Drosophila melanogaster: one gene and its partner. The protein of the gene in region 1 interacts with the protein of each later gene in a pairwise test. Each region holds a gene or a part of one and is shown on either strand. Other genes may lie near its edges.

Region 1 (13,954 bases):
TAACCTAACAAGTACTTTAAAACTGGGCATTTGATTTAGTTTACAGTTTTCTTTCTATTACACATCATAAATAATATTTTAATTTTGAATTAAACTTTTCATTTATTACTCTTGATTTTTACTAAGTAACGATTTAAACGTTTACAACATGTTAAACTTTCTTTAACCAGCAAAAATGTATGTATTTCTTACATATGTACATATGTACACATGTAACTAACCATCAAGATAAAATTACGTATACGACAAGTGGTACAAACATATTGAACTTTTCCCTACAACTAGTCCCAAAATGTTGGATAACAATTCGCTAAGCTTGCCAAGGAGCTCGCAACCGGTTTGTAGGATAAGAATGAGGACAAACAGGAACTTCATACACGAAAAGTTTCTTTCAAAATGATGTCATCTTTAGTTGAAAAGTTCAAGGCGCACAGGAAGAAAAGTAGTAGACGTAGAAGAAGAGCAAGAAGCGCAGGACATTCACATATAGAGTTGCGGGATTAACATATATGGAAGAAAATTTTCATATCGTTTATCGATTTGTGTGTGTCTGTGTATACGTGTGTGTGTATGCGTGTGTGTGTAGGGCTTTAAGGACTCAACCGAATAAGTTCAGGCAAAGGTCAGCCGGAGGTTGAGTGACGTAGAAAATCCTGACGGCAGACAAGTATCCTTAGCTGCCGGCAGGATGCATGCAATTGCAATTGTGTGCGTGTTCCTTGTGTCTATGTGAGAGAGAGTGGTATAATTTGTTTGTAATTTGCAATAGTTGAATATATTAGCTAGAAAATCGTGTGGGGTTATGCTATATTACATTGTTTTTCGTGTTAGTTTGGTTAGGATTTCTATGAACATAGTCACCGCCATATTGCTTCAATATCATCTTGTCGAAATGTATTACTCATCATCCTTAGAATCCGTGATTTTTTAACAACATTTCCTTTACATTAGTTATTCGTTAAATAACATTAACAGTTTGATTAATTAGTTTGTGGCTTTGTGCGCGTGTTTTGCGTTGTGTTCGTGTGTGTGTGTGTGTATGTGTGTGTCTTGGTAACGATAGAAAAAGTAAAACAATTTAACAACTTGGTATTTGGAAACAGAGGGAGCTCGGAAGCACATTTAACATCGATCATCAAGAAACGTAAAATTTGTTTATAAGTTTATCGTTTTTAACTAGACAGAGTTGTCAATTTAAACACTAATTAGACAAGCAGGGGGACAGGTTTAACCAACGCCAATGTACACAAATTAAATATCAACTGTAAATAAACTGAGCTGAATTAACGATACATGATTACGTGAATAACTCAATTTGCGCGATTTAATTATGGCACATGAGACATGATTTTAATACGAATTCTGATAACTATGCAAGGGGGGGCGAAATTCATTTGAACAATGTAAATGAGCCACAATGTATTCCGTTTTCGAGTTTTTCCGGGTCATGAACAATAAAACATGTAATCAAATTCAATTCGCCGAATTTTGCTCTTCTAATTGAATTACAGATTCCCATGCTTTTTAACTGTACGAATTTGTTAGTACTTAATTTAAAATGCGTCTAGCATTTGCATTTTCCTCGTATACTAAAGAGATACGATATTTAAATGTATATGTAAGGACATTATTTGCGATATATAATATCTGATAGAATATCTAAATTTTTCACAGAACAATAGATGGTAAAAATAAAGTAATGATTCAAATATACTGTCTGTACTATTCAAATGTACAAATTCAACAATTGAAAGATCGTACACTAAAGACTGAAAGATCTAGAGTTTAGAGATAGATAAATGAAAATACAAACTAAGGGCTAGCACAGACTTTGAAATTGATCTCTAACCAGGAGTGGATGCAACCATTGAACAGATACGAGTAGCATATAGTTGACCTTGTTTTTGTTGTGATGTGGAAGTGTCTCTATATTTTGTATGGACATGGACATGGACATGGCGATACGGAATGCGAATGGGAATGAGCAGACCACACGATCGTACAAATGGATGCGGGATGACTGATGCTTGAGTTGATTTACCGCAAATCGTGGCGTTTCACTCGCCGGCGTGGGCAGTGCGCCAATTTGCAGGTGATGCAGCTCGGCGCCAGTGGCGAATCCGCCGCTGGAGTCGCCGCCATTGGTGTCGGCATCGCCGTAACCACCAACCACACCGACATGGCCATAGCCGTAGCTGTAGCCGTAGCCACCAACACCACCAGCACCACCACCACCACCACCACCACCAGCACCAGGATGAGCCGGATCGCTATCGGCATGGGCAATGGCATGGGCATCATGTGCATGAGGGACTGTCGTGCTGGGTTCTATGCTATGCGGACCGCACTCATCGTCCTCATCATCATTGCCCCCAAAATTCTCAATGCCATTCATGCCCAATAATGTCCTAAATCTATCCTGATTCCTCGACCTCGCCGGCGACAGCTCGAAGCTGAGCAGATGCCGCTGGTGGTTCAGTTGCTTCTGCAGGTGGCGGTTCATCGAGAGCGTGCTCTCGCAGCTGCGGCAACCACTCCCACTGCCAGTTCCACCGCCACCACCACCATCATCCAGGTCGTCCCGCGAATGCTGGCTGCAGCCCGCTCCGGATGTGTGCCGCGACGAGGCCCGGGAATTCTGTTTGGACACCGCCGCTATGTGACACGATATGAGCAATATGGCGGCCGATCTAGCCGCACCTGTTCGTGACGTCGACACCAGGATGCCCTTCGAGCCGCCGCTTCCGGACGCCCCTCCACCGCCGGCCCCGCCTGCCACGCCTCCGGCGGCACCCCCGCCCAGTCCGCCGGCCGAGGCGCGTCGATTGCCGTAGGAGCCAATCGATCCCGTCGACCGAATGCTGGAACGCGACGACGGACGCGCCGAGTGAACGGTAAGCGGTATTCCTGAAAACAAGGTCATACATTTATGAGTAAGCTGAATATCAGTACAAACTTCAAGCAAAGCAAAGAAATATATAATGGAGATCACTAAATGTCAAAAAGGGAATAACTAATTCCAGTTTACAGATTAAGAGAAAGGTTGAATTGTTATGCTATTAATTCACTACGAAAAGAACAGAAATCTATATATTTATTTTAAATTAAACTAAAGGACTTTACATTGTGGACATTTGAGAATTGTTTGAACCACTCACCTGTATCGCTGGAGTACAGAATGGGCGGCGGAATGCTGGCATCTCCGTAATTTCGATGCCGCGGATACTTCGTCTTGCTGAACAGATGCAGCACCATGCAGATGAGCCCGGCCAGAACTGCGATGCCCGTGGAGACGCCCAACAAGGTGGGCAGATCCGAGCTCAGTTCGCTGAGATCTATAGAAATAAAATGATTAAACATAAATAGTCGCATAATTGGTAGCATAATGATTTTAGGTAACAGTAGCTAATGCTACTTATACTGCACTCGCTCCAAAGTATGTTACAACATATTAGAACTATTTAAATTGTTAATTTGAGTAAGAAAAACCTTACCTGGTGTGCAAAAGACACGGCGCGTTGGCTTCACGTAGCTGACTGAGTGAAATCCGCTGGCACACTGGCACATCGCATTGTGCCGCACCTGAACACAAAGGGAGTTCTCATCGTTGTAGATGCAGGTCTCGTCGTAGAAACACTGATCGCCCAGTTTTTTAGCTGTGAATAATTAATATGGGCAATCAATATATATATATCTAATCTATATGCTGAGCAGCAATAGCAATATCTTACGTTTGGCGCAACCCTTTATCAGTCCAAGTTGCACTGGGTAGTTGCGTTCGCAGCTGCAGGTCTGCGAATCCTTGTCGCAGGATACGTGCAGCAGCTTGACGTCACACTTCAGCTCGTTGCACGGCGCTCCAATATATTTCCCCTTAGCTGCAATGCGCAAACCCAATTTGCATTAACAATTAAGCCATCTTTAAAAGAATGCAAATTAAATGAATGTCAGGCCATCAAAACGACCAAAAGCCTTTTGCACAGTTTAAGGACTTATTGAGCTTTGCAAATGTGTTATATATGTAGAGCAGCCTTATTTGAATATTCCTCTTAATTGGTATTTAAAATCAATTGGTGTTGGAAAAAAATGTGTGCACATGTTTGCTAATAAAGTGTGAAACTATAATATTTTACAATTGTAACAAGTACAAGTTATAAATTGAATTTACAATGCACTTTTTTCAGAAATGTGCCGAGTAATTTACTAACAGATTATCAAATGTGGTAAAATATTTCGTACGTTTATCAGAATTCAGAGTGTTTACTCAACCGTAAATCATAAAATTTAATTGTCTTCATACAAATATCAAATGCAATTCTCTTAGAATCAAATATTATAGGCTGGCACATTAACAACGCAAATTACCAAATTTGTCAGAAATAAATTGAATGTTCATATTAGGTGCAAATATGCATATATGAAATGTTACTATCAGCTTGCCGTTGGCATGCAAATTGGATCAAAATTGAATATTTAATTGCACACCGAATATCAATTGCATTAAAATCACAATTCTATCTGTTTGCACATCCATGCTGTTTTCCTACTATTTTTTTTGGAAAAACTTATAATGGGCTACCAGCGTGTGTTTTCGTATTTGGTAATTCCCGCATCATGGCCAAGATAAAATGGATGGGACCGTGAATCATGCAGTTGCAGCTGCTGCGGCAGATGCGGTGCCAGGTGGTCAGGATGTGCCAAAAATAAAAGTTAAACAAACAACCATGAAAGGACCCGAATGGCGACTGGATGTTGTGCAATTTATGGCTCTCATGATCTCGGCGGTTTTTGGACTTGGGACTCCGGAACCGAGCAAAGGTCAATGCAAACTAACGAAACGCAGCGACGGCCAAGTGCATTATCAACAAAAATTCCATTTATTTCGGTTCGCAAGTGCAGCAGCCACAAATATTCATTTACGAAATGGGATTAAACAAAGCGGCGCACAGATAAGTTTTCACAGCAAGTACTTGTATTTAAGGACTTAATTAAGTAACTGGTGTGTATATACATTTAAACAAAAATAAAAGCTGCAGAATTGGAATTATATGTACAACGAAAATACATGCAAGTTATTTTATAGTTATAGAATTTGGGATTTCTTTAAACATATTTATCAATAGCTTTAAAATAGATTTTAAAATAAAATGTAGTGATTTTTGAACCCGAACCCACCTGACTTATTATTAAGCAAGGCCTCCAATTCGTCGACGTCGTCCGGATAACTGCCATAGTCGTCATCATCAGGCACATTGGCGGCATCACGCTTCCGCGTGCGTTTCTCGGTATGCTCATGCTGTTGCTGCTGCGGTACGCCATCCAGATCCATCGTGCTGGAGATGTTCAGCAGGATCGGAATGGCGGCCGAGTCGGAGGACGTGGCCAGGACAGAGGCGGACACGGAGGCGTGGAGCAGGAGAAGGCAACCGTAGAGGAGCACGGCCTGGCCCAGTTGCATGGCCATCAAGTGGCAGCCGTGTGGATGCAGCTGCTGCTGTTTTTGATGTTGTTGCGCCATCAGCTGCAGTCGCCGCAGTAGACAAGGCAACGTTAACTTCGCCATTTTGTCATTTTCGCACCGCCAGCCGCTTCTCAACACATTCGCAATTGTTTGCGAACTTTCGCCATTTGGCCAAGAAGTTTCCGTTTGCGTCGTTAGCAGTTTCAGTTTATGTTATAGTTTGCAGCTCGAGTTTCGGTTTTTGGTTTGCGTTTCCGCTGCCTCAGTGGTTTATAGCTCGCTTTGGACAAATTGGCCAAACCCCGGTGCACATTACGTATACGTCATGCTGCACATTACGTATACGTCGCCGGCCGCTGTTGTTGCTTTTGGTGCTGGTGGTGATGGTAGTGGTGCTTCTGCTGCTGCTGCTGCTGCTGCTCCTGATGATGATGTTTAGCCTTGTCCCGCCTGCCGTTGTCAAGTGGCCAACTAGCTAGCTGCCTGCCCTGCATGATAATTTTATATAATTTGCCCCCGCTGCCACAAATCGGCTCGAGTGGCGCTTGTTTTTGTTGGTTTTACTTCTACCGTTGCCGTTGCGGTCAGCAGCGTCATCATCTTCGAGTGACCCACTAATGTGTGTTGCATGTGCAGCACCGCTGCACGTCTGCCGCCGCCTTCTAGTCGGGTATTAATTCCATGCAAACTGCAGATTTATGGCACGAACTTTGCGAATCTGGGTTGGTCCTCTTTCGGTCTGCCGCGGCTCGTTATCCCGAGCTGAAATTGCACGGAAAAAGGTCAAACATATAAATTTGTGCTTTCACTAAAATAACCATAAATAATATGAGTAGTGCGTGCCATCACATTAAATAATCACGTAGATTACGCGTTTGAAAACGTTTTCTGAAAGTGAACGCAATTTTAACTGCGTGTAGATAAAGTGGATCTATAAACGTTCGTTTTATATTGTAGACGACAAACAATATATTATTTTATTCCACAACATAAAACGTTATATATCTACTTGATTTATAAAAGTATTTACAGGTAACCACCAGGGGCTAATATTATTATCTAAAATTTCTAAAACAAATTGATAATCAAAAAAACATCTACACAGCTGGCCCAAAGTAAACGAATGTGTGTTTGTTTAATCATATTTACTTTTGATTCATGAAAAACGAGATTCGACTGATATGTTGGTATATAAACCAGAGGATTGAGCTTTCTTCGTTTAGATCACAAAATCTCCCCAAAACGAAAATGAAACTTCTTCTGGTTCTGGCATTGGCAGTCTTCGTAGCCCACGTGGCTGTGGCCCAGACAACTGATTCGTCTGACGATGGAGATTACTCTTACGATTACGCTGATGACAACGATACTGCCGGTAGCTCCGAAGACAACACTGCTGATTCTGGAGACACTAGTGATAGCTCCACTGACGTCGACAGTGGAAACGACTCTGGGGACGTCGATTCCTATGACGACTACGAGGGCTCTAGCGATGTTACGGAAGCACCAACTGCTGCTCCAGTTGTCAAAAAGAACAAAAGAGCTGGTGCCAGGAAAAACAACAGGAACAACAAGAATAAGGCAGCAGCTAAACGTCGCAATGCCGCCGCTGCCAAGAAAAGTAATAACAAGAAGGCGGCTAAGAAGCGAACACCTGTTGCCGCCAAGAAGCGGGCAAATGCTGGACCCAACAAACGTAGGCGCTCTGGATAAATCCAGTTTATTATATTCGTAGCTACAAATTATAAAAATAAAAAATTATACCAAAAAAATTTGTTCCCAAAATTACCAAGATTTTTTTCTATGACGTTTATAAGTTAGGTTTTGAATTAATATATAATAATGATAATGATATTTACCAAGAATGTGGTTGTTGGGTATGGGTGTTTATTATTATGAATTTTGTACAAAACTTGAATATCACAGAAATTTTGAAATATATTTAACTATTTCACCCAATGTTCAAAAGACAAGAAAACATTCTACATAAGTTTTTATCGGCACGTGTTTTTTCCCTCATTTGTAAATAAATATATTTTTGATAAACAAAAACATACACCGCATATACTTGAAAAATTATATAATTTTAAAGACGTTTAATGTCATATCTATTTTTTCTATAAAACTACTAGCAGGTCGCCTAACGCGTAAACCATAGACAAATTGTTCAAAAATCCAGATAAGACATTTGTGACCTTGGCTCTTTTAATATAAAAGAGTTTATATTACTTTTTCGTGCTCTAACACAAAATATAATTTCATAATTTCAACATATAGCAATCGAAAAATGTTAAACAAATACAAGCAGCACACACAGGTGCTCTAAGCCACCGAAAATTAAGACGATGAATTAAAAAACCAATATTTGCATTCTACAGATGTACATAGAAAAATAATGTAAAAAAGCTTTATATATTTATAAATTTCTTCAGAGGAGAAAAAACTATAAATACCCAGTGTTGAAGACTTTTAAACTCAGACGTTTATACCTAAGGTTACCTATCTGTTCGTTGACTCTATAGATACAAAAAAAAAAAGATGAGGCTGCTGTTGGTTTTAAGCCTGGCCATATTGGTTGCCTTCGTAACGGGTGCTGATGACACTGACGATGACTATTACGATTATTACGACTATGGTGATGACTACTATGACGACTCTGATGTAGAGTCCAGTTCGGAAAGTGGTGTTGGTGCATCCAGTAGCTCAGAAGATGATGCTAGTACCTCCGAGGACAGTTCCTCCGGCGAAGCTTCCGATACAGGTAGTTCTTCAGAAACTTCTGGAGATGGTTCCTCCGCCGAAACGACCTCCAGTTCAACTCCAACCAAGGCAGAAAAAGCCAAGAAAACTGCTGCACGCAGAGCTAGACGGCGCAGGCGCACCACCACCGCTGCTCCCAAACGCAAAGTAGCGGCAGCCGCGTCTGCCAAGAAGCAAACACCTGTTGCCCAAAAGAAGAAGACACCTGTGGCAGCCAAGAAGAAGGCGAATACTGCCGCCAACAAACGCAAACGCACAGGCTAAGCAGTTCGAAAAAAGGATAAATTCCCCATAGTCACTGAAAGTTTTTACATCAAACTTTTAAGAGGACCAAGAGACATCTTGTAGAATCTACATTAGTCTGGGAATATTTCATATGTTGTTTTCTGTACAAAAAATCCATATAAAAATACAAAGATAAGGAGACGTTTTGTAATTTACCAAAAATATACATTATTAATCCAAAATATACAACAATTTTGTATTTGAGGGCTTAAATGATCTTTCTTCGGAGAGAAACTAATCATTACAAATCGTTTCTGAATACTTAAAATCGAAAGCCAACTAAAAATCAAGTATTCCTTAAAAGGAAAAAAATTTTTTGAACGAAACATTCATTTAATAAACTGTTGTGGTTTATATACAAGTCTCTGCAGCCAGATTAGTATAAATCGTTCTAGTGGCGTAGTATTACCAAAGTCAGCTGCATTTTGCTGCATATTTTTAGGCGCCCACATTTACATTTACCAGCGCTTTGGCGCATTGTGTTTCTATTTAGACGTAAGCCAATAGCATCTATAAATAGTAATTATGCCCTCATACAAGTAGACATAAATGCACAGGGACACTTAATTACTGATGCGCACAGGCGACAATTGTTTAATGGCGAAAGGATAACGAAAAGGGAGGAGCCTGAGTAGCGCCATCGGCCACCACAATGGGACCATTGTTTTCGATTTCAATGCCGACATTCTGGCAGTGGCACTGCCAACAGAAATCCCGTGTATCCAGTGCACTGCGGCCCAGATGAAAGCCACTCCGCATCCAAGTGTTTGTGTTTGCCCGAGAGAGATCCAATCTTCCAGTGTGCTGGTGGCGGCAAAGCACACATCCATAGACACAACCACACTCACACACCGATGTTTCCTCTTGTGGCACCCGCTGGGCCGCTTAGTGAGCCAAGTGTGGCAACAATCTGAATCATCGTTTTAGTTTCCACCCTACATCCCCACCACCAGATCACCAGGGTATGAACCGATTTGTGAATTCGCCGGGAATCTTAGGTTGGGATGACCAGTCAATAACAATATCAAGCAGGAAATGGTTGCAAATTATCGAAAATTCTATGTATCTACTAGATTTGGTGTTATCTACGCAAATGTCTAAAAGTTGCATTAAATTGTGGATAACTTTGATTTGATTTATACATTCTTATATATAATTTTATTTTGTTAAAATCCTTTTTTTATTATAATAATAAAACAGCTTTGATCCTGAATGTTATAAGTATCCTATTTCAGGATCCGCCAAACTAGCTAAGCTTTTACAGGGTATTACACCACACTAACACCATTGGCAATTGTAGGCGATGGGCTGACGTGGAATCAGAGGGGAGGTGGGAGCGGAGGATAAGGCTGCTGTAATATCTGTGGCTGATGCCTTAAGAGGAAAATGCGATAATGTGCGCTAAACAATGAACAATGCAGAAATGGCATAAAAATAGCCAGAAGTGGGATATGAAGTGGGACACAGCGGCGGGAATTATAATGGAATATGTGTTTGCCTCCGAGGATGATAACGGCCAGGATGATGGCGGTCGGTGGTGTTGCTTTGGTTAGCACTCACAATGATGTGATGATGATGGCAAGTGCCCGATATATGCAGATTGTAGGTGTGGCTGCTGACGTTGATGGGCACCTTTGAGGAACAGATCGTCACATTTTAGATACTGCTTTTGACATTTACATGTTTTGCAATGCAAATCAGATGGGGCACAGACTGGGGCTAAATGAATTGGAAATTTAAAAATGACGACCATTTATTTACATAGGTCTCGCAAACAATCTTTTCAATTATGAGACAATCTTGTCCATGTTTGTGAAATATGGATAAATATTTAGAGCATTTCCTTCACATACATATTTTTATCGTTCTTTACTAGCTAAATAGTTCTATACTAACCAATCTATACATGAGTGTAGTTATATCTCTTCTAAGTTGATATCTTTTGCAATATTTAGCACATAAATCAAACTTTTGAAAATTTTTCACATTGCTCACTTTTTGATAAAAATCTTAAACGCCCAACAAAGACATAAACTTCCTCCTTGTGGATGTATAATTTGAAAAACAATTTGCATTTTCTCGAGGGCAATTTATTTTCCATTCCTTCGGTGCGGCAAAAAGTGGCTGAGGGCAGGGAAACTAAAAGTTTGCTCACTCCAAAGAAATTTTCTCTAACAAGGCATTTAGTTGGCAAACAAAAATACGTGCATATTTCTAACCCGACGGTGGGCAGAATGTTTATGTAATTACCGACACGTTTATAAGCGATGGCGTTTTTGTCAGCAGCACAAGGGGCGGCATAGGGGCAAAGGACTCGTAGAAAGTGAGCGAGTAACTAGCAAAGAGCAGAGCAATTTATTTAAGTGCGAGATATTTTTATGTCTCGGCAAACCATTAAAATGTGCATAATGCAATCCCTTCCAGCACTTTGCATATAAATTTCAACCGGCTGGGGCAAGTAGCGCCATAGCGGAAATGCAAGTCCAATAACAAGGGCAGTCGAGAACGAAAGGGATTGGCATGGGCTTAGTGGCCATTGCATACACTGTTAAAAAGGGTGTTGCGAATACAAATTTCATTTCATTCAGAATCAAAAATGTTCGCTACGTTTTCGGTGTGAATCTAGTTAGATTATTGATTTCGTAATGTGTATTTAAGGATCACATTTATTTATTTTAATTGACCTTATTATTCTGTATTTCAAAATAATATTTTCATATTTAATAATACAAATTAATAAGAGAACATAAAATCAAAATTTTATATGTACATACATTTTTATATTCGCATTCCTTTTTGAATTTGTAACCCTTTTTCACTCCATGTAGACCAAAATAGCTTATTTTTTGAGAGCCCACACTTGCAATGCCAATGTGAATGAACGCACATCCTGCTGCTCCTGTGTGTGAGTGTGTGTGTGTGTACTAGGATATACCTCAGAACCTCTCCGAAGGGAGAGGGGCACCGTTACAGTAACGGTAACGGAAGCAACGAACGCAAACATCATCCTGCATTCTGCATCGCCGAAGCTTGCTTGGCCCGCTCTCTGCCTCTCTTCCTCTCTGAGAGGAGCAAGTCGGAGAGAGCGGAAGAGCGGTGCGCCTGCCCCTAGAGAGTACCGTTGTTTCTAGCGGTACATAGGGCTTTACGGAAACTGCACTCGTGTGCGTGTGTGTATGGGGGTCCTACTTTTAGGCACTGATAAAGGCAAATTTACATACGCCGAAATGCCCCACCGCCCCCAGACTCCCGCCCACTTGGTTTCGGCCACGGCTTTTGGCTTCTTATGTGTCGCCGATGCCGATGCCGTTTAAAATGTAGGTTACACACAGCGAAAGAGGACCCGCAGACGCACACAAATCACATTCACACAAAAACATTCGCACACATTCAGAGCGAGAGAGAGAGAGAGCAGCACACAAATGCACGTGTATACGTATATGCAATATATTTTAGAACTTTCCGTTTTTCCCTTCGGAACGTGTCCTGCTCTAAGGTAATAAAAGTTTTATAATTTTTTGGTTACACACACACACGCGCGCGCGCCTATGAGTGTTTGTGTGTGTGTGTTTGGCTTTTGTCTTTCACTGGGGGCCCAAGTCAGCTGGGCCTTACAGATTTTGATTCCCACAAATTCAAAGTTACGGACTCCGTGACCCGTAAAAGTATGCTACCAAAACGAACTATTCGCCAGTTTTGCGAGAGATTAAAACGTGAGAAAATTAAAAAATGTTTTTTGGCAAACTTTTGAAAAGGGCTCATAAATAAGAAAGTTTTGCCTTTCAGTTTGGTTCCAGGAATTTAGGTAAATGTTATTTAAAAATTAAATTTACTAGTCTTTTTTTAAATGGATACGACGTTACTATTTACATATTTCTCTTTTAGGGAGAAATAAATGATTCTCTAGTTTCGCACATAGGATTTTGATTATCTACACTAAATGGTTAACTATTTCTTGTTAAAAATTGAGAGAAAACGAAGTCAAAAGTATTTTTATATTGAATCACATTCATTCCACTAAAAGGCCAAAACAAATATGCTTCATATTACAAACAATCCTTTTACAAAGAAGCTCTTATTCCTTGCTCAAAATGCAATTTTCGTTCCACGTCAATATCCAATTACACCTTAAGAGGCATTCAAGGTCTTCTAGCATCCTGCTGCTTGTGCTTTTCCACGAACATAATTTATATTGTTTTTGTTGACTTTTTGATGACCGACTGTGTGAGCTGGTGAGCGGCGGAATAGAGAAAATGTAACAACTGTGACAAGGGCAGGAAATGCTCCTCTATGCCCATAATACTATACAGATTTGAACCAAAAACACATACATATAAACGCCAACAGCTATGTACATACATATGTATTGTATTGTAGTACCTATGTATGTGGATGGATCATGTATATGTATGTTCGTCTGGGAGTTCTTGTTTTTGTGTGGGGATTCAAAAGGCCTGCCAAAACAGCCAATCAGGAACCAATCAGCGATAAATCAAAGTTTGATTTCATTTTCAGCAACGTTGCTACCTTTTTCGGACTGCTTTTCCTCCGCCGCCAATTACAGAAACATTTTGTTTTCGCCTATCGCGTTAAAACTTTCACATAATTCGCCTAACTTGGCGTTTAAAACATTTAACTTTGGCCAATTCGGCGCAGGCAAAACTTTTTGCCTCACTGGCACGCACACACAAGCACTTTTCGTTTAATTTTTAATGCACTTTTAATTGCGTTTTCTTGTACGGCGCACTTGTACGGTTTGCAGTTTGCATTAATCCACGTCTTACAACATTACCAGATATCTGTGTGTTGTCTAGTTCTTGCTGGTATAAAAAAACCATGCGATTTGGGAATCGAACTTGTGCGATTGGCGAACTTAACGGTACTGAGCCGAACCCACAGCTGTAACGGTAAAGAACGATGTGTGGGCGAGGACGACAACGACGACGATGCTGCTCCTTCGGTGGTAGCTTGACATCTGCTCGGGGTCCTTTCGGGATCCCGTGCTGTCCGACTATCGGTTCGGTTTGAGAGCGGGCGCAATGCAGCAAAACTTGGAGTAGGTTCAAGTTCCGAAGAGAGGGTGAGACTTTATATCGCTGAGACACAGAGAGAAGGGAAGAGAGAGCCGAGAGAGAGTCGTTGTGATGAGACAGATGAGTGACTATCTATACCTCCTGACTGTCAGCTGTTTAACGAATTTAAAAATAGAATTTTTCCAATCCCGATTTTGATCCCTAGACACGGTTTTATTTTTTTCTGACAAATTTTTCTATTTTAATCTTGAATATTAGATCATTCGCGGTTTTTTCGATTATTTTTTATTGAAAGCTTAGCCAGAAAGAAGTGCATCCAATATTTTAAATTAAAAAAAAAAACATTTAATCTCAGCACTTTGGTCACACTAGATGTATAAAATATCTGTATAATCATGTGCACCCTGTGCACGCAATA
Region 2 (14,429 bases), on another chromosome or scaffold:
GGGATCCTTCAAAGCTCTCAGGGTGCTATCACCCACGCAGTCGTCCAGGAATTGAACCGGCTGGCCCAGCACACTCTCCAGCTCCTTGGCCACGGGTTCCAGGCTAAACTTTTTGTTCTTTTTGCCATCCGGACGCCCCAAGTGGGATGCCAAAACCTAGGCAAAAAATTAAGTTATTCGTTCTATACTTTTTAGGAATTGAAGGAAGATATATCAACTCACCAAGGACTTACATTTCTTGTCCAAGGCATATTTAATACTGGGAAGTGCGGAAACAATTCGTTGGTTGTTGGTTATTTTGCCATCTTTCATGGGTACATTAAAGTCCACTCTAAAAATAAATTTATAAATCACACACTAAAACATATCTGGCAAGGATACTCACCTCATAAAAACCCTTTTCCCAGCCACATCTACATTTTTTAAGCTCAACTTCTTTACTTGCTTTCCATTGCAATCGTCTTTGCTAAAAAATCTTGGAAATCTTAATTTTGTAAATCGAGTTTGAGCTCTTTGGTATAAACTCTGCCGAATTGGAAGCATATTAAATAAATTTATTACCTGTTTTTGACTGAAAATACAATGCACGATGAGGAAGTAATTATGAAAATAAGTAACTAAATTAACTATTTTCAATAATTTTCGAAAAAGTAAAAGAAAAATGTAACCCTATGGCAACACCAAGTTAAATTACTTCACCACGATCTGGCAGCCCGGGCGAACATATGATTTTGTTGAAAACAACAGAAAAGGAGGGAAAATCTGGAATTGTTTGTAATTTGTTTGTTTTGCTGTTAAAACGCAAATCAAACCCAAGATGGGTGGCGGAGATCTAGTAAGTAATGTCTCCCAACTGATTATCCGTCAATTACCATTGATTTTTCCCGCAGAATCTGAAGAAATCATGGCATCCGCACACGATGAAAAACCAGGAGCGCGTTTGGAAGGCGGAGGAGCAAGCGAAGATGGAGGAGCGCAAGCTGCAGGATCTGCGCAAGGAGATCAACGAGGAGCGGGACAGAGAGGAACTAAGGCGATTGGGCGAAAGTTCCGGAGTGCTGAGCAATAATGGCGGAGCCGCCGGCGAGGCCAAGCTGGAGTGGATGTACAAAAGTGAGTCATACATGTGAAACTCTTATAAAACTCATTATCCATACATATTTATCTTGCTCCAGACAGCACAGAGCTGATCAACCGCGAGGAGTACCTCCTGGGCCGTAAGATCGACAAGTCCTTTGAGACGCTGCAAGCGGAGGAAAGCCGCCAGGAGCAGAACACAGTGGGTCTCAAGCAAACGATCAACCATGTGGAGCACGACTGTGTGCCCTTCTCCATCCGGACCTACCGCAATGTGCAGTCCAACGAACAGGTGGACATACAGCGCAAGACCCTCGAGGATCCCCTGATGCTCATCAAGCAGCGCGAAATGGAATCCCGTCGAAAGCTGCTTGAGAACCCCGTCAAGCTGAAGGAAATCCATCGCATTCTCAAGACTGAACAGGAACAAAAGGCCGCAGAGGGAAAGAAGAAGAACAAGAAGAACAAAAAGTCTAAGAAATCCAAAAAGAAGAAGAAGAACCGACGATCCAGCAATGAGGAAAGTAGTGACAGCGAGAGCAATGATAGCGACGATGACTTGGACAGAAAATTAGCCCGCCAAGTGAGCAAACTCAAGGGAGACCAAGGTGACCTTAAACTGGACAAGCTGCTGGACGCCAAGTACCGCACCATTTCAAATCAATTAGACATGGCCACCAAGAAGAAAAAGAGCAAGAAATCCAAGAAGAAGAAAAGCAGCGATAGCAGTGACGAAAGTAGTGACGAAGAGGAAGAGCCAAGGAGAAAGCACAAAAGGAGCCACAGCTCAGAGGACAGAAATCAGCGAGAAAGACGCAGGAGTAGAAGCCCCCGGGATAGAAAAAAGCGACAGAGTAGAAGTCCGGAACAAAGGCAAAGGCAAAGGAGTCCAGAAGAGAGAAGGGAAAGGCGCAGGAGCAGGAGCAGAAGTCCCTTAGCGAGAAGACAGAGAAGAACCAGGAGCCCAGAGGACAGAAAAGCCAGACGTCAAAGCAAGGACACTTCAAAGCAGCGCGAGAAACGCAGGAGTAGGACACCTGAAGAGCGTTCCAGATCAAAACGCAGCAGGAGCCGAAGTTCCAAAGGAGATGACAAGCGAAGGATTGCCGAAAGACCGCCTCCCAGCCGTCCCACCGGCAAGCCAAAGTTAAGCGAAGCCGACCGAGAAGCTCGCCTGCGCGAAATGATGGACAACGCCACTTGGAGAGAAGCGGATCGCAGCCAGGTGGTTCGCAAGCACCGAGAAGCATACGCGCGCGAGGAGGCCCAAAATCGTGAACGAGACTTCGACAAGGAGTTCATTAACAAGGAGGTGAAGAAGGCCATTGCCAACCATAACTCAATTGGCGATCGCATCCGGGCCAATCTCAACAACATACAGCGCACCGCCTCCTCAATGGACAGCAACTTTGCCCGCAAATAAACTAGGATTCCTTTATTTCGTATGCATTATATGGTTCCGCAACAAATAGATTCAACACTTTTTAACGTCGTGGTTTGTGCTTACAAGGTAAACGATGCGATTAACATTAATATACCGTATATATGTACGCTTAGGCGCTGGTCAATGCAGCCACGCCTGGCAGTGTCTTGCCCTCCAGGAGCTCCAGCGAAGCGCCGCCTCCGGTGGAGACGTGCGAGACGAGTGCCTCCGTGTTCCACTTGGCGCAGCAAGAGGCAGTGTCGCCGCCGCCGATGATGGAGACGGTGCCGTTCTTGGTGGCGGCCACCACGCCGTCCATGATGGACTTGGTGCCGTTGGCGAAGTTGGGGAACTCAAAGACACCGGGGGGTCTAAAATGGGAAAACCATTATAGGACATTTGGAGAAGTAGCTTCAGTGTGACACCTACCCGTTCCACACGATGAGCTTGGCGCGTGCGATGGGTGCCGCGAAGAGCTCACGGGTCTTGGGACCCACATCCAGACCCATGTGTCCATCGGGAATTCCGGCCTCCACGGTGGCCTCGCTGACGGCAGCGTTCTCGGCGAACTTGTCGCCGCAGACAAAGTCCACTGGCAGATGCAACTGCACGTTATTCTTCTTGGCCTTCTCCACCAGTTTCTCGACGATCTTGGAGCCCTCCTCGTCGAACAGGGAACCGCCGATCTTCATGTTGTTGAGGACCTTCAGGAAGGTGAAGGCCATGCCGCCACCGATGATCATCTCGTTGACCTTGTCCAGAAGGTTCTCAATCAGCTGGATCTTGTCGGCCACCTTGGCGCCACCGAGAATTGCCAGGAAGGGATTTGGTGGCTTGTCCAGGGCCTGCGAGAAGTACTTCAGCTCCTTGTTCAGCAACAGACCAGCTGCGCGCTGCTCGAAGCCATCGCCCATCATGGAACTGTGGGCGCGATGGGCAGTGCCGAAGGCGTCGTTGACATAGACATCGCCCAGCTTGGCCAGGCTGGCACGGAACTCCTTGACCTTGGCAGGATCGGCCTTGACCTTGCCGCCGCTGGCATCCAAGCCCTTGCCCTCCTCCTCCACGTAGAAGCGGACGTTCTCCAGCAGAATGACGGATCCCGGTGCGGGATCCTTGCAAGCGGCCTCCACTTCGCTGCCGACGCAGTCACTTAGGAAGATCACATCCTGGCCAAGCAGGGTCTTCAGCTCAGCGGCCACGGGTGCCAGGGTGTACTTGATGTTCTTGTTGCCATCGGGACGACCCAAGTGGGACATCAGCACCACCGACTTGGCTTTCTTGGAAAGGGCCAACTTGATACTATCCAAGGCAGCGACAATTCTCTGGTTGCTGGTGATCTTGCCCTCCTTGATGGGCACATTGAAGTCGACGCTGCAAAGAAGCACGGGCAATGTTTATGCAACTGAATTTCACGCGAGGATTGGCTTTGGATTACCGCATCAACACCCGCTTGCCCGCCAAGTCCAGGTTTTCGATGCTCAGCTTATTGAAGGCCATCTTTGGATTTTTCTGGATTTTCTGGATACTTCCTGTGCGTGCTAGCAAACTCCGGATTGCGATACCACTGATTCCGCGAATCTTCTTCGTCCTCAACTGCTGTGCGGCAATGTCAGCGCAAGGTCATTTTGTCGGTGAGCTGCTAGGGTTGCATCTCCACTTCCAGGGCGTCAATCCGTGGCAAGCGGTTTTCCGCCGATTGGTAGGTGCCATGCGCAGGATCCAGCTGGGTATACTCCTATTTTGGAGTCCGAAGTTGGTATCGGATTGTATTCTCGTTCGAAAGTTGGATAAAAGTTGTACTCTCCAAATGCAACTCTGTATTTGGCGCCCAAGCAGTGTTGGTAAGTGCTGTCAGCACAGTGCTGTGAAGCATCCGTTCCAAGGGTGTCGAAAAGGGGCCACACAATTCTAAAATTTAAAAATCTATTATTTAAAATATCATTATTTTCATAATATTTAAATATTGTCCATAGATAATCATATGCTAAAAATTAACAAAATAAATGTCTGCATATTCTGACTAGATCATTTAATTGATCATTTGCTATTTACAGTATACAATTTTTTTTATATTAACTTAAATAGAAACCGTTCATATAATATTTTCACTTAAATACATATAAAAATTATTTTTTTTAATAAATTTTTTATAATAAATTTTAACCCCTTAGAACTTTTTTCTTCCACACCCTTGAATGTCTGTTAAATTTTAACTGAAAGTCCGAATTAGTGATTTTTTATAAAAATTTATAATTAATTTATAAAAATAATAAAAAAAAAATTTAATAAATAATAATAATCTACGACGTACATACATATGTCCATACCGTATGTAACAGCCGCCCCTTTGATGTTTGTATGTCAATATGTAATTATTGAATAAATGATTTCTGTTGAGGCCAACAAAGTCAAATCACACAATCTTTCTCGGTGGCCGTTGTTTTATTTTGACTGTGCAAACGGATTCCGCTTATGATGCCATGATGATGGCTCCGCCTCTTCCCCCAATGATTCATTCATTGTTGCCCACTCTGTATCTCTACTCATCTCCGGCGGTCCAAGCAACCACCGGCGGCACTCGGCACTGGCACCACCAAACGCTAACCCACCGCATCACCACCCACCACCCAGCACACGGAACACCACCACCCACCACAAGTGCTCAGTGCAGCGAAATGCATGACGCAGATGGCAAAGTAAGGTATATGGGAACGAACGAGGTTGGGTTGGTTGCTGGCCATTCGGGGGTTTTCTAGCCAAAGTGGCGGGTTTTCAAAGAACTAATCTGCCCAAAGGACCAATTGTAATGTGAGCACATCACTAAAATAATCGATAGATTGCCATATCTGATGGGGTTTTGGGTGGCTGCCTGGGAGACTGGGGTGCGTATAAGCCTATTTGGGGCACTTCAGATGCAGCATTGCAGTGGTAGCGGCTGTCCTCCTTCATCCTTCAGCCAGCCGTCGGAAGAATGTCCACTCACACGTCACGGCTGTGGTGCTCTGCGCAATTAAGGCACCGCCGAGGACCCGGGTACCCACTGGTGATGACACCACGGCGCTGCTGCTGGGTCAGGTGGTATTGGAAATCGAAGACAATGGGGCTGCTTAAATTCATTTTAATAATTGCGTGTAAACCGCCCGTTGACGCAGGTGAAACGCAGGCGAGCAGGTGAGCCGGGCCAGTACATATACCTGGTCGAGTCGCGTCCATGTGGCCCGGCACTCGTGTGGAAACATTAGCACATGCCGGGAAAACGAGACCCGACTCCGAAAGTGTCCAATGCGACGGCGACGGCGATGACGTGCTAGCGCTAGAGATCAAGAATCCAGAGAGTCAAGCAGCCAAACAACAGCCAAGCGACCAAGCGAATCGCCCATCTAGCAACAGTCTAACAATCACTCTAATCGAGTCGTAAACCTGTTCATGTTGTTCCACCCAGCCATCTTGTTGGGTACCTAAGCGCTAGAAGGGACAGCCTATGGTGGCTATTCGTATGCGCTACAATTGGTTTTGTATCTGAACGGTGAGCTGCGCTACTCTTCATACATTGTTTACCATGCTATCGATGATATCATATCGAAATAAAGCTGTCAAAAGAACTGAAACTTCCGTTTTTGAAAAGCCTAACAACCCGATTAGAAGAAATCTATTAAGCACCGCATTAAGCTGAAAGAGCGAAAAACTTAATCGCCGTGAATACAAGCTGATGTGTGTGTTTTAGATACACATGCTAGCTGAAGCGTCTGGCTATCGATTGTGTTTGCATTGAGATTTGTTCGCACCTTTATGCTACAGCAAATTAATGACGCAACAACGTGTAAGTGCACTGGGAGAAATTCCTGAGGCAGGTCAGTAACGACAACGGTCGGGGAAAAATCCCTTGCGTTAGTTTCGTGTTCGAAAGGGCCATAAAATTTCCGAATCGACAGATGTTTGGGTTCCGGGAAGCAGGACCATCCATCCATTTCTGCCTGCTTGAGATCCTACCTACCCGGTGGTTGCCTGCATTTGAAACCGTTGTCTAACCTTGAAGTAACTACGGTCGTACCAACCAAGCCGATAACTCGAGAAATTGGCACAGGTTGTCCTCAGGAATCTAGATACCATTGTTCAACACCGAGAGGTGGTCTCACAAGCCCGATGAGCACGACTATTCGTATCGCGAGAGACCCACCAATCTTGGGCCGACGAGCGTCAAGCCACTCGAACGGATACTGAGAGTTCGGCGGACGGAAAGTGAGACAGTGACAGCCAGAGAAGAACGGTAGGCGGCCCATGGAAGCACAGCGAAATGGAGACGCAAATCGGCTTATCAGGCAGCGATGTTCAGGCAAAAAGTCATCGCTGCTCCTCAAATATGTGATAACTGAGTGGACGACGGGCCACGATTACAGGTGTTTACGTTCACCATGCCGCCTCGGTTGGGATGCCGCGGAACATGTTCGCCGGTTTTAATTAGCGATCCGCCTGTCGACAGTCGTCCGCTCGCTCTGTCGTCGACCGTATTATTCAGATTACCAGATATATAGCCTAGGTATTCGTATTTGCCATTGCTTTCGCACGAAAATAGCTGAAAGCGTGAGAGGCTGTCCAATCGAAACTCGACTGTTGGATACCCGGCAAACGATAGTTATTACCCTTTCGTCGATAGGCTACTGGAAATAGCACCAAGAACCTTATGTCTTCCGGTCGAATTCCTCTAGTATTACTTTATGGGTTGTTATTCCGCTCGTTAATGTGCACATTTTGAATGAACTTGAAGATCAACCTCGCAGTGATTGTCCCACTGATAACACAGATTTATAGAGAAGAGCCAGTACAACTCGAGCACGTTGACTACCAGGTGATATGGGCGATATGTTATAGCCTACTCGGCAGTTCCAGTTTCCCATATATTGGGCGATTCCTGAACCCACTGGGTTCGTGCGGCGAACGAAGCCATCACCATCAAATGGTCGAACCACAAGTGCGGGATCAACAGAAAGATTGGCACATGAAAAAAGAGTCAAGGGTGGACCCAATTCGACGAGTGATAGGCATTGGCATTTAAGTCGAAGTCTTTGGTGGGGCCATTAGGACTTAAGGATGTTTAATATTTCTGGAAATTGCCGATTTCGAAAACTAACCCTTAAATGTTTTCGAATCTTATGGGGTTGCAAATTGCTGTTTTCTTGCTATTTCTCCAGTTCTCTAATTCTAGTTTTAAGACGCATAATCCCGGAATAGAGCATTTCCCCGATTGCGTGCATCTAAATAGTTAGAATCTCAAAAATAGCTGCCCGCTTTCCTGGTCCGCGAAAATCACCTGCTTCCCCACACGTTACCAATCAATTGACCCCAATCCGCGACGACATTGCGTCCCACGCTGGTCCACTCTATAAATACGAATACCGTGCTGAATACAACACACAGCACACACATCTGCATCTGCGGCAACAATGCTGCAACACTTCTTCCCATCGGCAACATCCACATCCACTGTTCTGCTCTGTTCTGTTCTGTTCCACCGACGAACGGTCAGAACGCCACAGAGTGACTGCACCACACACACCACACACCACCATCGCCGCTACCAACCCCCAGACCCCGCCCCCAGGCCCACAAGCGCACCACTGGCGCGCGCAATTTTCAAATTTACCGCCAAACGCGCCCACAACCGTACTCACGGAACCCAAGCAGATTTTGTATGGAATTAATCAGGAAACCCACTCAACTTGTCATTTGCGGATCTAGTTTTGATCGCAGCGCCTCGGGAAAAAGCCCAAAATTAAGCGGATACTACCAGCTATAGCCTCGATCAGTCTCTGAACCGATCCGAACAAAGGTATTCAAGTTATAGGCAAAAATGTCTGCAACCGATTTGGCGCAAGAAGAAGCAAGCGGCAATTTCTAGCCATCGAACGGACGGCAAGCTCAGTCTTGTACGAACCGTCGACGGGAGCACATATCGGTGGTTAGCAAACCAAAGGAAAACGGATATTCCATACATCAGTGGGGCCTACGAGTAAATCCTTTTGCCTGCCGTAGCGCCGCCTGATATATGGCACCTCCTAAAGCCTTACTATATAGATACTATATTATCAGAAAATCACCGCAAAATAATATACCAAAAATCCAACGATCGCTCTGCTCTGGGCTGTTGTTGTTGTCTTATCGACTGCGGCTGTACAAATGCCGCGGCGATTTTTTGAGTGTATTGTATGGGCCAATGGCGTGGGAGAGAGAGAGCGAGTGAGCGTCGTAACGATTTCGGGGAGAGCGAAAAAGAGAGCAGCGAGAGCGTTTAAAGAAAGTTACTCTCTCCTCGAGAGGCAGTGCTTAAATAGACGGCCCGCAGCTGAATCGCATTCAGTGTGTTTGTGTGCTTCGTTCGGTGCGGTTCTCTCTGTCTCTCTCTCGCCTTCCCCGAGTATTTTGCGCTGGTTTTTTGTCAACAACAAGACAATCCACAAAACCAACCCGAATTGTTCTCTATATAACGCAGAAACTAAATAGTTCCGGAAAACCTCAAAGAAACCAATTCAAATATGTCGGCTGCTACGGAACAACAGAACAACGGCGATGTGGCCGTGGAGAAGGTGGCGGCAGATGATGTGTCTGCTGTCAAGGACGATCTCAAGGCGAAGGCGGCCGCCGAGGATAAGGCCGCTGCTGCCGATGCCGCCGGCGACGCGGCCGACAACGGTACGTCAAAGGACGGCGAGGATGCCGCCGATGCCGCCGCCGCTGCCCCCGCAAAGGAATCCGTGAAAGGCACCAAGAGGCCAGCAGAAGTGAGTACTGATCTATGTGACTAGGTAGTTGTTTACGCGGTAAAACCAAAAGGAGGCCCCTCTAATGATTCACTCCAAGCCAATATGCCAGTAGCATAGCATTGTTCGAGGAAAAATTCTAGAAATAGATATACACACGTTTTTCGGAACAGCGCACTCTCCCAATGGCTTACATATGCCCCCAAAAGAGAGAGCGTATAGCTGGCTCGGTTGTGCGTTTGTGTTGTTTACGATTAACCAAGATGATTGCGGGTCCGGCAATCAAAGATTATTGTTGTTAGGTTCAAATCGAGGTTAGGAGGGCCGCCGTGCTTATATAGGCGGGGAGTACAGTTAGCCAGGGCCTTTTCTTTGGTGGGGTGGGTAATGTGTTTTTAATAAACCCATAGGTCATTAGCATTGACGTGTCCGCTGAACAGCGTTACCCAGCAATAGATACATTGTGGCATTACGTCTATAACTCATACGCTTGGCCTTATTTATCAGTCGCTGTGGCTACGGGAATTGCAAATGCAAACGCAAACGCAATTCAGCGCGATGCCAATGCACTCTCTCAATGAAAACACACATTGCCGGCCGGTAAATTACTCATGTCATGTTTGGCCACTTTATTTTTGGTTAGTATCGCCAAGAGCACGCGGTATTCGAACAAGTTTTGGGGGCCTGAAGCAGTCGCATTCCATAATCGAGTAGCACATTTCTTGATAAAAATAAAATAGTTCGGCCAGTAAGGCAGATAAATTGGCAAATCAAGCGCTTTTCTCAGACTCAAACTCGAAATAAAAATGTACAGTTTAACGGGAGCGTTCTCTCGCTCTCTCTCTCTCTCCCCGGAGAAAGATAGATACAAATAGAGAGCGCTGCTAACTCTCTCCCTCGTAATTTGTATACACACCGTTTTGTCTGTTTGCGTATGTGCTTACATTTATCTTTCACTTTTTTTTCTGCTCTGCCTTATGCGTATTTATTTTAGTACATAAAACAAGACGGCTAAACAGGGTGTCGCAAAAGTTAGTTGGGTTTCTTCGGGATTCAATTGAATAATGATCATTATCCCATGATCATGAATTAGTTGAGATACGTTTGGCACGGATAATTCTTAGTGGTACAGTAACGAATTGTATAGATTTCAAGAATAGTTTTGAAAATTATTCGTTGGTTTCCATATCTTTCGATTCCAAACAACAGATTAGCTTTTGTCCCTATAAATGTATCTTCACGCTTAGAAAACACAAACTAAAACCTCTAACTAAATCAAGATACATTGATTACCCAGTTATAACACCAGTAATAGTAGGCTTAGTTCTTGCCAATACAGATACACCCTGTTCGTCTTAATCCTCTATTGGCCTTTTCTCGAGTTCTGGGTCTCGTGACTTATGCTGTAAGCGAAGTGAAAAAGGGGGGCGATGGGTGGCCATTAATTTTGCACATTTTTCCACAGTCCGATTGTTTTTCGCTTCTTCCGCTTTGTAACAGTCTGGTAAATAGGGCCCTTGTGTTGCGGCTTCTCTTCGACTTGGGAACGTGACCGCCTATATACTGCCATAAACCATATACCATTATGTGTATCTTGTTGTTGGTTGGTCAGCGGCAAAAGTTAAACCCACGCATGTTGTTGTTTTGCGCCTTTTTCGCTGCCGACGTCGCTGCAGCAGCTGTCGTTCGGATGGCTGTGAGTGAGAGCGAGAGATTCATTCATGCAGTTCAGGTACAGTTTACAGTGCTGCGGATTCAGATGCTCTCTCTCTGGCGCTCTCGCCCGCTCTCTATCTTACAGGGCACGCTTCGTTTCGTATCTCACGGATGCGGATACATATGTCGCTGCCGGCGTCGCTGCTTATTGTTTTTTTTTCCTTCCCCCTTATGTAGTAAATATGTCGCCTTGTACATACGGAGCACAGATGTAATGTAGCGCGGTTGCACTTGTAATCCACTCTCTCACGTACTCTCTCTCCCGCTGTCTCTTTTTGCCGCAGCGAATTACATTGGCGCGCGCATTTTTCAAATGTTTTTTTACGGCGAAAATAACGATTTTCGTCGCTGCTTGTTTTGTGTGCTGAAAATATACATTTTATGACTATGTACACACGCACAGGAAGTTGAGAGGGGTATTGGATGCCCTTGATCAAGGAGATGTGTGGGTTTGAGTTGGGCGCGTAGGACCATTTCGCTCCGTAATTCTCCCTAATATCCTTTAGTTTGTTTCTCAGATTAATATCAAAAATGCATAATTAATAGTGACGGGCCCCTTATTTCTGTTCAATAAACTTGCTTGTAATACAGTAAATCATCAGCGGAACAAAAACCAAAGGAACTCTACTAACTTCTCTTTTTTCGCTTCCAGGCCAAATCCGCAGAATCAAAGAAGGCCAAGAAGGCCGCGGCCGCCGATGGAGATTCCGATGAGGAAGAGGCTCTGGAGGAAATCATCGAGGGCGACAGTGAAATCGAGAGCGACGAGTACGACATCCCCTACGATGGTGAGGAGGATGACATTGAATGTGATGGTGAGTTCACGGAAGCACTTCCCTTTTCCACATCAATCTAATCCCCGGATTTTCCCTTTCCCTTACCCGCGCAGATGATGATGATGATAATGATGACGGTTCCGGCTCGGACGATCAGGCGTAATAATAATGTAGTCAAAAATACAAACAAAAACAAACAAAAATTTAAATTAATAATAAATAAAAGTTACAAGCAAAAACAAAACAAAAAAAATATAATAATAAACCAACAAGCAGAAAATAAACCACAACAAGGAGAAAATGAGGAGGAGGAGGAGAAAAAAACCACAAAAAAATCGCAAAAGTATATAATTTTTATGTTTAAGAAATAATTTTTTATTTCTTACCTTATTTTAATTGTATTTTATGTGTACTTTTTTTATAAAAAACTACAAAACAAACAAAAATTGTAATTGAAGGCATTTTCGTATAAACGCAACCTATACGGAATCCAACAAAAAGTAAACATCCCCACTATATACAAGAACAAAACAAAACCAAAATCTTTCTTTCCTTTATCTCATAAGTCCTAATTTAAACGCCCAGTTGATGCGTAAACCAAGATATACAAAGATTTCAAATGTAGCGTAAACGAAGCCCGCGAATTAAACACAGATACACTACACTCACACACACACACGATATTCAAATTCATTATTAAATTAGACGTTACATTTGTGAATGAATGATCGATCGAAAGAAGCAAAAATACAAAAGTGAACATTTGAAAATGAACATGATTATGAACATGAAAAAGAAACAGCAAATGCAATTAAATACAAAACAAATAAAACATAAAAATTGTATTTAAATAAATCGCAAAAATCATTGAAACCCCATACTCGACAAGCATTCAATGACACTCAAGTTTTAGCTATGGTTTCAAAAATTTCGCGCCCATTGTGGCCACAGTCACCCGAATTTCCCAAACCCAAGGCACTGGGACTTAGTTGGTCTTCGCTTTTGGGGCAAATACAAAAAAAAAAAACAAAAAAAAATGAAAGGAAAACATCGGGAAGTTTGAGTTCTAACCTTCTGTTTCGTTTCAGCATTTAACTATAAACTATGACTAATCTTAAGTACTTATGTCAGTATTAAAGCGAGGGCTTTATTATTCTGTTGATAAGTTGTGCGAGCGAGTCGTTGATAAGCCTAATTCATTTGTAAATTGTAAAAACCAACTCGAGAATCGAAAAACGAGCAAGAAAATAAACTTTTAATGTTACATGTATCTAATTAGTAAGGGCATCCAAACTATTTATACACACACCCCGTACGACGAGTTCTCAATATAAACATATAACGACTGATATTTCAAAACGAATCGTGCCCAGCTGGTCAATCACGGCACTCGACACCGAAACCACCCAACCACCACCATCCTCGAATCTAAACGATTTGTCCCGGAAAGACAGACCAGCCCAACATACACACACAATCCACCCACTGACCCAGATCCAAACTCCAAGAGGCTTAAAGCTGGTAATGCCAACCAGCAACTGAATAATTGAGTGCAATTAAACCAATATGCCCAAGATAAATCATCCGATTTGATAACTGATAAACAATAGCGATATCACAGACAATGTTAAAGAACTATGCATTTTTGTAAATACCAATTACTCATGTATCTGCTCCGTGCGAGAATAACATCTAGTAGCGCGAAAGGGCAAAAAGAGAAAAGAACCACGAATCGAAAACGAGAATAAGAAACAATTTTGAACGATGAAATAAATTATTGTAATTACGTAAAAGCGAAAACCGTACGTACATACCACCCATTTGGCATCTGTTCCGATGCCAATAAAAGTTTGTTTCAATTGCAGTTGGCCATTTTGGGTGGGGCAATCACCTCGCTTCGGTGTTCCCAGGGGTAGTAGTTCTTAGCCAGGAGCATGTACGTATGTAGGTACATAATTCATAGATTGGCCGCCCCTACATTACTCCGATCCATCCCTTCCATATCCCAGTTTTCGTTCGGGGGTTGACGAGCTGGTTCCCACAATCCTCCCTATGAAAGAAATCATATACTAAGGGATGATGGAAAAATTCAATCGGAAATTTCCTTTGATTAAGTACCTTTTTCGGATTGAAAATCGATTAGCCTTAGCAGATGCCTATTAAAAAAACGAATGATGAAATTCCGGGCTCTTCGTTGGGCAAATGAAGTTGAGCTACTTTTATATTCAAATTCAAATATAAGCGCAAAAATTTCTAAAAGTTTAAGAGCTTTTAAGTTTCATAAGCCATTTCTTTCATTTATTTCAACTTTTATTAAAATTATTCTCCATATTATTTAGTATCAAATTTAAGAATAAACGCCTAAAAAAGTTTATCTTTTAATTAAAATACAACTTTAATTTGATGCTATTGCACGAGTCATGATGATGCCAAGTACCTGGTGACCTTCAGTATGCACAAATGCTCGCCAGGAATGCGTCGCTCCATGAACTTAACAGCCCGGAACTGGAGGCCCTCTAAGTATTTGATAATCTCCTCCGGCTTGTTCTCCCGCAGCAGGAGTAGGTAGAGCACGCCTCGAGGCGAAAGAATGTCATCCAATTGCTTGAGTAGAATGTCCGTGACGCGTCGCCCGTCCTGTCCACCAGCCCAGGAGAAAACCAGATTGCGATCCGTTGA

The links.
Region 2: the proteins of CG9040 (region 1) and Bacc interact in a two-hybrid assay, tested with the Drosophila melanogaster proteins (one large-scale study listed by BioGRID).

Annotation. Positions count from the first base shown.
Region 1 is NT_037436.4:13,979,946-13,993,899, forward strand, and holds CG9040 (uncharacterized protein), read left to right. Parts: upstream 1-7,932; 5' UTR 7,933-7,996; coding exon 7,997-8,482; 3' UTR 8,483-8,681; downstream 8,682-13,954. Other genes in the region: CG17364 (uncharacterized protein), read right to left, coding at 1,820-2,907, 3,159-3,335, 3,495-3,656, 3,732-3,878, 5,176-5,563; CG17362 (uncharacterized protein), read left to right, coding at 6,710-7,171.
Region 2 is NT_033779.5:2,744,382-2,758,810, forward strand, and holds Bacc (bacchus), read left to right. Parts: upstream 1-8,063; 5' UTR 8,064-8,459; intron 8,460-8,613; exon of another isoform or gene 8,614-8,687; intron 8,688-8,851; exon of another isoform or gene 8,852-8,990; 5' UTR 8,991-9,033; coding exon 9,034-9,279; intron 9,280-11,626; coding exon 11,627-11,789; intron 11,790-11,863; coding exon 11,864-11,913; 3' UTR 11,914-13,539; downstream 13,540-14,429. Other genes in the region: CG9961 (uncharacterized protein), read right to left, coding at 1-156, 223-331, 386-543; Cwc25, read left to right, coding at 818-835, 891-1,113, 1,176-2,500; Pgk (phosphoglycerate kinase), read right to left, coding at 2,631-2,871, 2,930-3,874, 3,939-4,000; HemK2 (HemK methyltransferase 2), read right to left, coding at 14,169-14,429. UniProt on the Drosophila melanogaster protein: Negatively regulates tyramine beta-hydroxylase tbh and thus the conversion of tyramine (TA) to octopamine (OA).